Drosophila melanogaster: one gene and its partners. The protein of the gene in region 2 interacts with the protein of the main gene of each other region in a pairwise test. Each region holds a gene or a part of one and is shown on either strand. Other genes may lie near its edges. The genes, in order: B-H2, Usf and CG12877.

Evidence for each region.
Region 1: the proteins of Usf (region 2) and B-H2 interact in a two-hybrid assay, tested with the Drosophila melanogaster proteins (one large-scale study listed by BioGRID).
Region 3: the proteins of Usf (region 2) and CG12877 interact in a two-hybrid assay, tested with the Drosophila melanogaster proteins (one large-scale study listed by BioGRID).

What each region holds. Positions count from the first base shown.
Region 1 is NC_004354.4:17,312,072-17,316,311, reverse strand, and holds the start of B-H2 (BarH2), read right to left. Parts: upstream 1,732-4,240; 5' UTR 1,443-1,731; coding exon 401-1,442; intron 1-400. UniProt on the Drosophila melanogaster protein: B-H1 and B-H2 are regulated by members of the wg signaling pathway; wg and dpp. B-H1 and B-H2 are coexpressed and functionally required in R1 and R6 receptor cells and primary pigment cells for normal eye development.
Region 2 is NC_004354.4:4,546,498-4,550,737, forward strand, and holds the start of Usf (Usf), read right to left. Parts: upstream 2,298-4,240; 5' UTR 1,932-2,297; coding exon 889-1,931; intron 328-888; coding exon 57-327; 3' UTR 1-56. Other genes in the region: CG15912 (uncharacterized protein), read left to right, coding at 2,577-3,317; CG11436 (uncharacterized protein), read right to left, coding at 3,913-4,240.
Region 3 is NT_033777.3:27,705,196-27,709,435, forward strand, and holds the start of CG12877 (uncharacterized protein), read left to right. Parts: upstream 1-1,904; 5' UTR 1,905-2,014; coding exon 2,015-2,123; intron 2,124-2,181; coding exon 2,182-3,603; intron 3,604-3,661; coding exon 3,662-4,172; intron 4,173-4,240. Other genes in the region: CROT (carnitine O-octanoyltransferase), read right to left, coding at 1-192, 269-646.

The DNA of each region.
Region 1 (4,240 bases), about 13 Mb from region 2:
TTTCTTGCTATTTTGAATATCAGTTGTTCATTAGATTTCACTTTCCCATCCAGTCCAGTCCCTGAAATATCACAAATATCATATTGCTATATATATATATATATATATTCTCTATATGTATCCCCGCTTTGCTCTTCTCATATTACTTGATATTGCAATAAAGTGTCTATATACATATACATATATTCCGCACTTGGTGCTATTCTTCAAGATCCATCTGAATCTGTATGTCTGTCTCATGAACTAGTCTCTTCCTTTAGTTAGCAACTTAATTATTTCTGCTATATATATATATATATACTTTATATATTCCCGATGTAGCCTTATCCTTGAAATACAGCTTAAACCATATTGCTATACAGATTCATTGTATGTTTATGATATATGATCAGCGACTTACCGCAATCATCGCTGTCGCTGTCGTCGATTGTGCTGGCTTGATCGCCGCTAATGCTGCTGCCGGGTCCTCCGAGCAACATGTTGCCGTTGCCACTGCCATTGTTGTTGTTGCTGCTGCTGCTGTTGCCGCTGATGATGTTGCTGTTGGCACTAGCACTGTTGTTGTTGTTGTTGTTGTTGTTACTGGCACTGCTGCTGTTGTTGTTATTGTTGTTGTTATTGCCACCGTTACCGCCCAATTGTTGCAGCATCAGCGGTGACCGGGATCGCTCATCGTGCATGGGATGATGCAGATGCGGATGGTGCTGCTGGTGGCTCAGGTGGCTTAAGTGGCTCAAGTGCTGGGCAGGATCACCGGTCAGCCCGTGGCCATGCCGATGCAGTGCCTCCAATCGTTCCCTCTCAAGCTGCAGATGATGCGGGTGGGGATGTTGCTGTTGCTGCTGTTGCTGTTGCTGCTGCTGCAGCACGGCGTAGTGGGCGGGCGGAAAGTGGGCGAGCAGATGGGGCGGCATGGGGTGGTGGGCATAGGGATTGTTGCCAGGCGGCGAATGTCTCTCCCTATAGTGTTCCCGCTCCCGCTCCCTCTCCCTTTCCCGTTCAAAGCGCAGCAACTGCTGCTGTTGCACGATGTACTGTTGCAGGGCAGCCTGCTGATGTTGCTGCTGCTGCTGCTGCTGCTGGTGATGATGGTGTTGTTGCTGCTGCTGGTGATGGTGGTGATGCTGGGCGACCAGCGATTGCTCCCGCTCCGAGTCCGTCGGACTGCCACGCCCACCGCCGGAAGAGGCGGCTGCCAAGGCGGCCGCCGCTGCTGCTGCCGCCGCCGATGCGGCCGCGGCTCCTGCCAAAATATCGGTGATCATAAAGCGGGATCGCGTCGCCGTTGTGGCCGTGGCTGTCGTCGTGTTGCTGCCGACGGCCGGGGAAGCTGGACGCGGCATACCGCCGCCGACGGCAGCGGGATGATGAGCGGTGGCACTCGGTGCACTGCCAACGGGAGCTGCCGTTGTTGCGGACATTTCCGGTGGCATTGTGGTCATGTGTGGTTAGCCGACGACTCCGCTGCTGCACCTGCACTTTGCACCGAAAAAAAACAAACAGCTATGTATGTATGTATGGGTGACGCGAGTTTTTAGCACTTCTTCAGTTAATTGTTGGTAGCTGCTCGCACTTATTTCTTAAACTTGACAAGTTCTTGAACTCCGCTTTCGATTGCTCTTGCGTTGGTTAATGTTTTCTTGGCCCAACTGGGTTTTTAACGCAAATGTCGCTGAGGTGCGCACACTTTGTGATGTTCAATAGCGGAGCAACAACCGCTCGCCTTTGGCTTTCGACCGAAACTGAAACTTGCTGCCAGCAACAGCAACTGGCAGCAGCAGCAGCAACAACAGCAGCAGCGGCAACAGCAGCAACAACAAGAAGGCAGCAAAAACCAGTTGAGCCACCGCTTCCCATCAGCTGCCACCTGTCGTCGTCTCTTTTTCGCTCATTGACCTGGCCAAGTGGCGGTGTGGTGAGTTTCCCTCTCTGTCGCCCCGCGACTGCCTCTCGCTCGCACCCACGGCTGCCCACATTTATTGCCCGCACTTATTGGTCGTAATTGGCAGCAATTGACATTCATTAGGCTTCAATCAGCGGGACTCAAGTTGGCGGGTGTGGTGACTTTCCGCCGGCAATGGCCGCACGTCTAACGGTTATTTTTATGGCACGTGGTGGAGTTGGCTGTTTCGAACTACAACCGCACAAAAAGTATTGCAATTAACTTCATATCCTTAAATAAATAGGGTTTATTAAGTCTTGTCAATTTATATAAAAAGTTATTTGTACTTATTTGATTTCTATAAATCTGAACAAAAACGTGTTCGTTATCTTTGAGGGTTAAATATAGTCTTAGGGGTCAGTTGGTTATTTCATATTATTTTAGCTGCTTTCAAACAAAATTTGAACAGTGTTAATGGTAAACTTTTATTATAATAGCGAGTATTATTAAAAAATATGTAGCCATGCATCTTTAATATACTAATAACTTGTTATCTAACTTTCCAACTAAATATAGTTTGTACAGGAATGACAGAACATTTATGCAATATGCCTCCAGCAGTAGCAAAATCATACTGTTTTAGAAGGTTTCCCTGTTCAATACGACTTCCCATAAACTTTTTATGGCAGCTTGAAACTCAACACGATTATGGCAGCAGGGCAGCTGCCGCCTTTGCTTTTGCTTCTAATGTTGCTTTTGCTGTTGTATCTGATGGACAGATATCCGGATGGCAAGATGGATGGATGGGATGCTGTCAACCCTGTTTTGTGGCCAGGCCACGCCCCCTTAAACTGGTTTGTGCGAGCGAGAGGCAGCCGGCACGACATCTGTCTGTCTCGCTTTGGCCCAAGGGCTGGCCGCCTGTGGCTCGCCTCGGGCCCTCTCGCTCTGCGTACTTTGTTGTTGGTGTCTTTTGTTATTTTTGCGCTTGTTAACACTTTTTGTTTGGCATTTAAACAGTAAATTGGCAGCAGTTAAATGCTGCACGCTTTCCTCTCTGTCGCACGCGATAGTGCCCTCTCTTTCCACTCACTTCTGGTTTACTTCTTGTATCGATGTCAATTTGCTGCCTAATGTGCAAGTGAATGGGTCTCAGGGGGGGGGTGGCTATCCAAGAGGGGGCTGTATACCACTGGGGGTTCCTACCACCTCATTCCTGTGGACTAACAAGCGTGCTCCGGTGGGCAGGAGCTACTCGAGGAGGCAGTCTTTGGCGCCTGGAGGCGGATGCTCCCGCTGCCACATGTTTATTGTATAGTTAGCTTTTCAAAATGGCCTCACGGCAGCAATTGTCGGGTATTACTGGCCATTGGTATGTATCCGAGTTCCTGTCGCCAAACGTTTCCAGGAATAGAGTATCGTAATCATAGATATATCCCAAGCATTTACGACCTGACAAACGATCGGGCTGGAGCAGGAAAACGAAGACGTGACCGGGATCATTGGGTACAGTTTGTATTGCCTCTGAATAAACCATGAGATTGATTTTCCTGTAATATAAATTATAGCATTAATAGATATGAACATAAACTTATCATTTTTTTTATGTAATTTACTTATTGATAATTGTTTTCTTAATTATCAATAAATAAAACTAAGGTCAGACCAATTTAATACAATGTTTACATTTATTCAAAAAAATATATATTTATAACGTAAGTGGTACTGAAAGGGATAAGCACCGGAAATCCTAAGAAATTGAGTAAAATTTGGCACTTACTGCACGTGTTCTAATTTTAATTGGAATTCCCCCAAGCCTATCCATCTAAAAGTAACTTCCCCATCTGTCACTGCTCTCTCGCTCTCGATGTCGAAACACCACCATTCCATTAATGAGGTTTCCGTAAAAATGTGACAATAATTTATCTTTCAGCATTCCCTTTGCCTGCTAATGAGGCAACTTGACTTTCGCCACTCTCCCGCACTCGCAATCACCAAAAATCCCACGGATATTCGACGTATTTTCATTTTCCAGCTGCGTCCGCCATTTTGTCGGGGTCTAACTAACGGCACTTGGCGCTCGTTCAGCGGGTACAAAGCGAAATATAATACACAGCAGCGAAATAAGTTAATTAAAGATGAACTCGGTGTAAATGGCCAAAGTTGAAGTACGACAGCAATATACTCTAACTGATGGGAGGAAGTTGTGACTTTTTGGCTTGACCAGAAATTGTATGCGCGTTTTTTAAGGTTCATAATATCCAAGTAAGAATATTGGAATGAAAATTGGATTGAAAAGAAGTGCGTGAAAATCTCAACACACATGAACGGAACCACAAAATACTCGAGATTATGAAT
Region 2 (4,240 bases):
TATTTTTTTTTTTTTTTTTTTTGTCTATCCACTCCTATTTCGCAGGCAGATTTTGTTTACTCATCAAAATCGCTGATCAGCAGGCCACGCTTGCCGAATCCCAGCGACGAGACGGCGGCCAGATTGGGTGTCGTATCGATTCCCTCGAATAGATCACTGGTCGCGGAACTGTTCAGCGAATTTAGGGTAACATTAAACGTCGATCTTCCGCCGGCCGTGTGGAAGCGTTCCTGGAGCTGCTGCTGACGCTTCAGGCGATCAAGTTCCTCGCGCAGCGCCTGGTTGCTGGCCCTTAGGCTATCCGTCTCCCTTAGACAGTCGCGCAGCCTGTTTATTGGTGGGGATAGACAAAGTTGAGTAATTGGTTTGTTTATGTTTGGTGATCGGTGAATCGGTGGATCAGGTGTTTGATTGGCTTTGTATGATTTTGTTGGGTTTTGTTTGGGTGGAAACCGCATTCGATCAGTGTGAGAGAGTGTTGTGTTCAAGACTTGAGTGACACAGGGACATTCGAGAGTCCAGCTCATATTGCACGAGATAGTGGCGAAAAAGAACCGCTCCAAAATGGGGATTTTGTTTTGCAAAAAGATAACACCAGCCCTATATCAGCACTTTAAGTACGCATTTCTACGGAAAAAGTGGGAAAGATCAAGTGTCCGCCCTTTGGGTAACTTTATTCCTAACCGTATGCGATCGATACATGATGTAAGCTCAATTGAGCGAATGGAGTTGATTAAGATCTATAAGCAAACTCATTTTTTAAGACCATTAACAAGTCAAAAAAGTTATATAGCTGTATATATAACTGTAGTACAGCAACTTATAGCGGACAATATTTGTGGATTTCTGATTCAGTGGTTTCCCCCCTACAAACCCGTCTCCACTCACGTGTCAATCTCGCCCTGCATGCTCTTGATGTACTCGCATGCCTTGATCAGGATCTGCGATTTGGAGTCATTGGGCGGCGCTCGTCCGCTGGAACTGCTGGCATTGCCTTTGGAATGGCTACTTCCGTTGGTACTCGTACTTCCGCTGGTGCTGGGACTCGTGCTGGCCTCGCTGAAACTGGAGCTGGAGCTCAGACTGGGCAGCATCTCCTTGAGCTTGAAGATCCAGCTGTTGATCTTGTCGCGGCGCCGGCGTTCGACCTCGTTGTGCGTGGCACGACGTTTATCATCGCGTTTCTTGTACGCCTCCAGTTTGCTGGATGGTGTTTGGCCAGCTGATTCTGGCTGGGATCGGGCTTGGGCGTGAGCATGGCCATGGCCATGACCATTGCCATGGGAGCCATACAGGACACTGGTGGTGGTGGTGGTGCTAGTGGTGCTGGTGGTGGTGTTGATGTTACCTGGAATGGGAGGATTCACGGTCTGGGCGGTTATTACCGCGGACTGTGTGCTGGAGGAAGTTGTAACAGATGGAAGGAGCGGCTTTTCGCTTAGCGTATCTAGTTCCAGCTTGATGGCCGCCTTCGTCGGCGGCTCACCCATTAAGCTGCCGGTTTCCTTGACCAAATATATCTCACAGCCAGTGGGCAGCTGCAGATTGTTGGGCAGCTGCAAATTGCTAGGCAGCAGCGAATGGATATCTAGATCACATCCCGGTTCCTGTTTAATCGTATAGTACTCCTGCGAATCGTCCGAGTTCTCGTCTCCGCAAATGGTGAGAAATATCTGAGCACCTTGGCTATTCATCAGCGGATTTCCCGTGTCGCTGGTGAGAATCAGACTTTGCTGACCATTGGCAAAGGAACTGTGGACCAGGGCCTCTGACAAATCAGCGGTGTGGTGATTGGTAATGGTCATGAGGCCAGGTCCAGCTGTTGGATTCGCATTGCTGATATTTACGGAGGACGGGGATGTGGAAGTGTTGGTATTGCTGGTGGAGGAGCCGAATTCCATATTCAGACGTGGCCGCTTGTGAACATTCATTGTTGCATCGATGATCCGCCGTTAGCAGTACACCAATTCCAATAGCCCAATCCCAGCCAGAATCGTATCCGTGTCGCCGGGAATCACGTAACTCCGGATCTATTCGGGATCTCCTCCACTATTTGCTCCGATCTCTAGTTGGAGGATACACGGATATGGATGGTAGATATCCCCCGATCTGGCCGCTCTGCGGTATTATTAACTACCGACTGCCTCGAGGATTTGATTTGAAATCGAGCGCTGCGGCGGATTTATGGTCGTTCGTGTTCGCACGGCCATTTAACAATACGATTTGTTGATTTTTTTTGTAACAAAATTATTTTCGTTTGGCTTAGTGTGCCCGCCGGCGGGCAGCAAATATATGCCGACAAATACACACAGTACAGTTGTTGCGAAAAATACCAGAATTTAGGCAATGTATTTTTGCGGCATTTCCAAATAATTGTTTGTATTCAAAAAAAAAAATAAACTCTTCATACAAGTAGAAAATCTGTAACTTTAAAATGAAGAAAAGCATCTTCATTTAATTCAATAAACGATTCTCAACTAAGCAAATGTGTTTTTGGAGGTTTTTCGAAAATTAAAATATACCAAATGCATATACGTAATATCTAGTGGACAAACAATACCACACTGTTGGCCAAAATGTCGTTGACTTCGCAATTTGTTGCGAATTTGAAACGCTTTCGCCTGGTGACCTTCGATGTAACGGACACGCTGCTTCGCCTGGAGGATCCCCTTCGCCAGTACCATCAGACGGCAGAGGAGTTCGGGGTCACCGGAGTGGATCGCCGCCGATTGGAACAATGCTTTCGCCAGCAATTCAAGGCGATGAGCAGCGAACATCCAAACTTTGGCCGTTACTCGCCGGGATTGGATTGGCAGCGTTGGTGGCTTCAGCTGGTGGCTCGAACCTTTAGCTGCGTGGACCACGGTCTGGCGCCCGAGAAGCTGGAGAAGATCGGCCAGCGGCTAATTTCCGTTTTTCGGACCAGCGCCTGTTGGAGTCACGTGAATGGTGCCCAGGAGTTGGTGCAGAACGTCCGAAATGCCGGCAAATGTGTGGGCATCATCTCCAATTTCGATTCGTCACTGCCACAAGTCCTGGACGCCATGGGCTTTGCCGGCAAATTCGATTTCATTCTGACTTCCTACGAAGCCGGTGTTATGAAGCCCGAACGCGGTATCTTCGAAATTCCGCTGCAGAGATTGCAAATTCCAGCGGAGCAGGCCCTTCACATTGGCAACAAGTTGGATATGGACTATGAAGGTGCCCGGAATTGCGGCTGGAGCGGTTTGCTTGTGAGCAACGCTGACAATCCCCATTCTTTTGCCAGTCTTTCCAGTCTGTTGGAGGCCTTAAAAACCCAACCAATCCGATGGTAATCCACCAAAGAAACTCCTCTCGGGAACCTGCAGTTCTTCGATTGGATAATGGCTGTTGTTATTTTTGTAGATTTCCTTTTTTTTTTGCATTAAGATAACATAACTGAATGTAAAACTAGTGGTAAATATAAATACGCGATCTTAATGATATTTTTTTGGGAAATTCGAGGTAGGAGGTTTTGGACAAATATAAAACATAATATAACAAATATAAAAATAAGCTGTCTGAAAACAGAAATAAACAAAAGAGTTCTTAGTTGAATACAATTCAAAGCTTATTTCTTATCGAATGTGAAAAAGTCGTTGTTTAAATATTCATTAAAAGATATTATTAATTAAAGTGACATAACGATGCTGTATTATGCATCGAAAGAACCTCCTCCTTTCGAACATTTCCGTGTATAAAGCCTGATAAAACTATACCTGAAAACTTATCCTATACACACACACACACACACTCGCACACGTCTCTTGCACACATACCTAAATACTAATTAAGAACAGATTAATCGTACAAGCTATTTTGTGACCAAAAATATTTGGTTGCTTTGTGAAGGGAATGTGCCAGTCCATCTGTTTGTAATGGCAATCATTACTATGTAGCCTTTGTCGCCTTCGCAGGCATTTGGGCCTTGGCCGCCTTAAGCTGCTCCAAATTGAACTGTTTCCGGATTTCGGTGGACACCTGGCGAATGACCGCATCCGTATTGGCCTTTAGATCCCGTTCCAGCACATCAATGTCCACATCCTTGCTCTCCAATCGCATTTGCATGTCCGAATAGAAGTCACAAAACAACACCGGTTCATCTGAACCATTCGGCGTCCTCGTGCTGCAGTATTGACCCCTTCGATGGAGATCATCGTTGTTGGTTTTGGCGTCCAGGCCAAGCAGACGTCTCGCTCCCAATGGCAGCTGCTGTTGG
Region 3 (4,240 bases), on a different chromosome or scaffold from region 2:
CTCATCCTTGGTGAGAAAATGCTTCTCTATATGATCCTGCTCCTCGCCTGGCACACGGCACGTGGAGAAGAAGTGCTTGTACAGCGCGGAGGAGTACTTTATTTTACCGCCGTTCGAGGAGAGCGGTTTGATGCTGGACTTTCTAGTCAGATCCCAAAACTCCAGCGAGTGGTGAATGTGGCGCGCCAGACTCTTCGAAAATTATACAGTCAATTAGGCAATCTTAAACTTTGTGTTCTTATAGAGCTTGGGGTGTGGGTCCACTCACCTTCAGCATGTACTCCGGTGTCTCCGGCACGCCCACCATTTCCAATTGCGAGGGCATGACCATGAGCTGGTAGGGCAGCAGCGGCATCCGAATCAGGTGATATCCGTAGTCCTCCCACCAGGTGCCCAGCCAGTTCCTCATGCCGGCCGCCCGCTTCTTGAGCTGTTCGTGCAGCTGGGCTCCCACTCCGTTTTGGAACTCATCAATAGTCTTGCGGGCCTGGGCCAACTCCTCCTTGGTCCCGAATGGCTGGATGCAGCTGTAGTAGCGCTCCATGGTGTCCCTAAGCTCCGGCAGCGGGAGCGAAGGTAAGGTCTCGTCGAAGTCGAAGGTGTTCTTATCATCCTTGCTCATAAAATATAGACTAGCCCGGTCCATGGTGGTTTAGCTGCGGGGGACACGTTGGAATCGTTGATATCAGTCTGCGCGTGTGGTGGTTTTCTATAGGCCTAAGTCAGATTAGTACAATAATCATATCGGGAATCGCTTTTACGTTCGTCAGGTCCAAAGTTCACCCAATACATTACTGAGTACATTCACATCGGAAATAAATTGATCTCATCTTATAGGTTAAACATTAAAATGGTGTGCAAATTAATACCACACAACTAAGAACACTTAATGTGCAACTAAGCGGATTATGCGTCAAGTTGAACGTAATCTTTCTTGGACTGCAGCTAGACGACTATCTTCACTAATCTCCTCAAGCTGGACAAAGTCCGGATTGGGGAGCTTTATAAATATTTATACTCCCGGCGCACTGGTGAAATCATAGGCGAATTTCTAGCCCACTGACCTTTGTACTCGATGGGGAATTCACTTTTGCCGGAGACAACTGAAGCGCCAGACTGCCGTTATACGACTGAATCCATAGGTTGGTTCCATATCACAGCAAACCTTGCCGGAGGGGGAGCACTTGAATTATCGCACCGTGGGATCCGCCACCCGCGTCCACTGACTCAGTGCGATAATATATCACCCTAATCATTGCTATTGCAGACAGTCGGCCACCGATAATGGCCGGTTTCATTTGAATTTCTATATGAATTTCTTTTTTAATAACATATTCCAGCAGACACACCCACACAAACCTTCGATGAGGCGGCAGTTGAATGTCGCGCCCGAACTTCAGTTTGCGATGCACTCGATCGAAATTAAAACGGTTCCGCAGCTATCAAGTTCATTAGGCTAGATAAGCAAACAATTTTATAGGTTAAACAATTATTTTTATTATTATACTGCTGCGTTTTTGTTTACAAGCGGCGAAGACCCTATAGGAAATTGGCACAGCAAACAGCTGTTTGCAGGAGTTGCCAGACTTTTTACACCATTTGTTTATACCGTTAGTCACCACATTCTTATTACGTACATCTTATTCTTATTAACATCGCATAGCATTGTACATCGTACCGCAAGATATAATCCTCCCGGATTGATGCAATCAACTGCCATAAACGTACATTGTAACCGTTAACAAAATGCGAATATTGTTTACAATTATTAATTAAATAGGTCATTCAATGTTTTGTAAATATTTAAAACTTATTTAAATTTATTTAATTTAATTCCTTAGCATCCATTCATAGCATCCATGCTGACGCCTATCTGGCAACGCCGCCAGCAGCTGAAACAGCTGACATCTGTCGAAATGAGTGAAAGAGACAGGCAGAAAGAATAGAAAGAAATTTGGGACGCTTGTTTTCTCAAGCGGCTTTATTAAATTTCTAATCCCAGCAAGAGGTGGAAATGCTGCCATCCACGGGTCTCTTTAAGGGCTTCTTGTGCCCTTACTTTGACGGCCAGGATGCGGCGTCCTGCAAGCGCCCCTTTTGCCACTTTAAGCATGCTCGCAAAGGTGAGTGAATTACGTCCAGTTAATTTCGCAACAAATTCTATCCACTCTCGGTTTACAGACGAATTGGAGGCCGCTCCACCTGCAGAACCTTCCCCCGTGCCCAAGTACAAGCCGGCACCCAAGTTGCTCTCCCTTCCACTGCCCCAGATCACGCTATGTGCGCCCCGGAAGAAGTCCAATCTGGAGTACCACCCGGAGAAGCCGGCTCTTGACGCATCGCCGGCTAAGAAGAAGCAGGAGGCGTCCGTGGACAGTGCTCCCAAATATGTGCCCGGCCAGCCATCTGTTACAAATGGCGAAGAATATGACGATTGGCAGGCGGTACTCGAAAAGGAAATTGATGAGCAGATGCAGGTGGAGATTGAGGAGCAAGTCCAGAATAACGACGAAGAACAGAAGATAGATACGGTAGCTGAAAACGAGGAGGACCAGGAGAATACGCAACTGACGGATGCTAGGGATAGCCACGAAAAGGATCGAAAGCCCAGCAAGGAGCGGGAAAGGGATATAGAAAAGAAGAAGATCAGAGAGCTGAAAAGGGAAAAGATCAAAGACAGGGATCGGGACCGGGACCGGGACCGGGAAAAAGACAAAGAGAAGAGCAAGGAAAGGGACAGAGAGAAGGAAAAAAATGATAGGGATAAGCGAAAGTCCTCCCACAGCGACAAGGAGCGCTCCAAGGAGCGAAATACTTCAAGCTCAAGTTCCTCTAAGCACAAGTCTTCATCTAGCTCCTCTTCCAGCAAAAAGTCATCCAGCAGCGATAAGCACCGCGACGACAAAAGTTCCAGTAGCAGGCACAAGAGCAGTTCTTCATCATCCTCCTCGAAGAGCCATCATCACAAATCTAGTTCCTCGAGTTCACGGTCCAAAACTAAGAGGAGCTCGTCTTCCAGCAAAAGCGCTGGCACTTCAAAGAGCGAACCGGAGGCGGATAAGGATACTGAAGCAGCTGTACTGACACCAGCAGAACCTATGGATGATCTGGATGACATGGACTTTGATTTTGAAGCAGACACCTCGGAAGGAGAAATTGTACGCCAGTGTGAAATGATTTTTGACGAGATGGAAAAAAAATTTGCGCAGATGCACAAGGACGAAGGCGGCAATGCCAACCCGGAGAGTTCTCGCAAGCGCAAAGCTCCTTCTCCGGACATTGATACCTTCACCGAGGCAGCCACGGCGGCTCTGCAGAAGCGCCGGGTGGCCCACGAGAATGCTGACAAGATCACGCCTCATTTGGCTCCTTCGGCGGCGATGCGCAAACCCAATCACGTCCGTAATGCCATGCAGGCGATCTTCAACCGCCGCGCGGAGCTGCGGCGCCAGGAGAAGCTACAAGCCGAAGCCTCAGCGGAGCAGGTACGTCAGGCACAGGAGCGGGTGCGCCAAGCGCAGGAGGAGCTCCGTCAGGCCAAGGTCAACTCCAACCTCACGCCACTTATTTCGCGAAGTGCTCTGACCCCACCAGTGCGATCAGGTGAGCATACCACTTTGGAATATATAATAATTCAAATTCAAATATTTTTGGTTACCAGCTCGCAGCATAGCACCTGTGGCCAACATTGTGGCCATCGCTCGGGCCAAAAAAAAGATCGAGGAGCTGCAGGCCGAGAAGAAGCCAGCCTTTACGCCTGCACAATCATTCAAGGGCGCCGGCCGTGTGGCTCACAAGCCCACTGCTGCGCTAGACAAAGCGGCTCCTGTGTCCAACGCGGAGAAGCCAACCGTCCTAGATCCCAGCAGCTCCAAGATATCATACAACGTGCGCATTCAGTATTATGAGATGATGGTAAGGCACTGCACCGTCATCTATCCGCAGCTGGCAGATGCCTGGGAGCGCGCCCAGGTGGAGGAGTTGACCGTCTTTAAGAAGTGCAACACGCCTGCCATCTACAAGAACAGCTGCATGCTGGCGATTAACAAGCTCCGCAAGGAGGCCTTAGAGGCGGGAAACAAGCCGAGCGTAGCCTGCAAGACTGTGTCGCACGAGATGATGCTGGGCGGCAAGCGGGCGCTCACCACATCCTGGAGCGTAGAGAAAAAGGGGTGGGTTTGTATACTAAACTATAGTTATTCTCTATGTGCACATTATAAGATGAAATTCGCTTAATTGT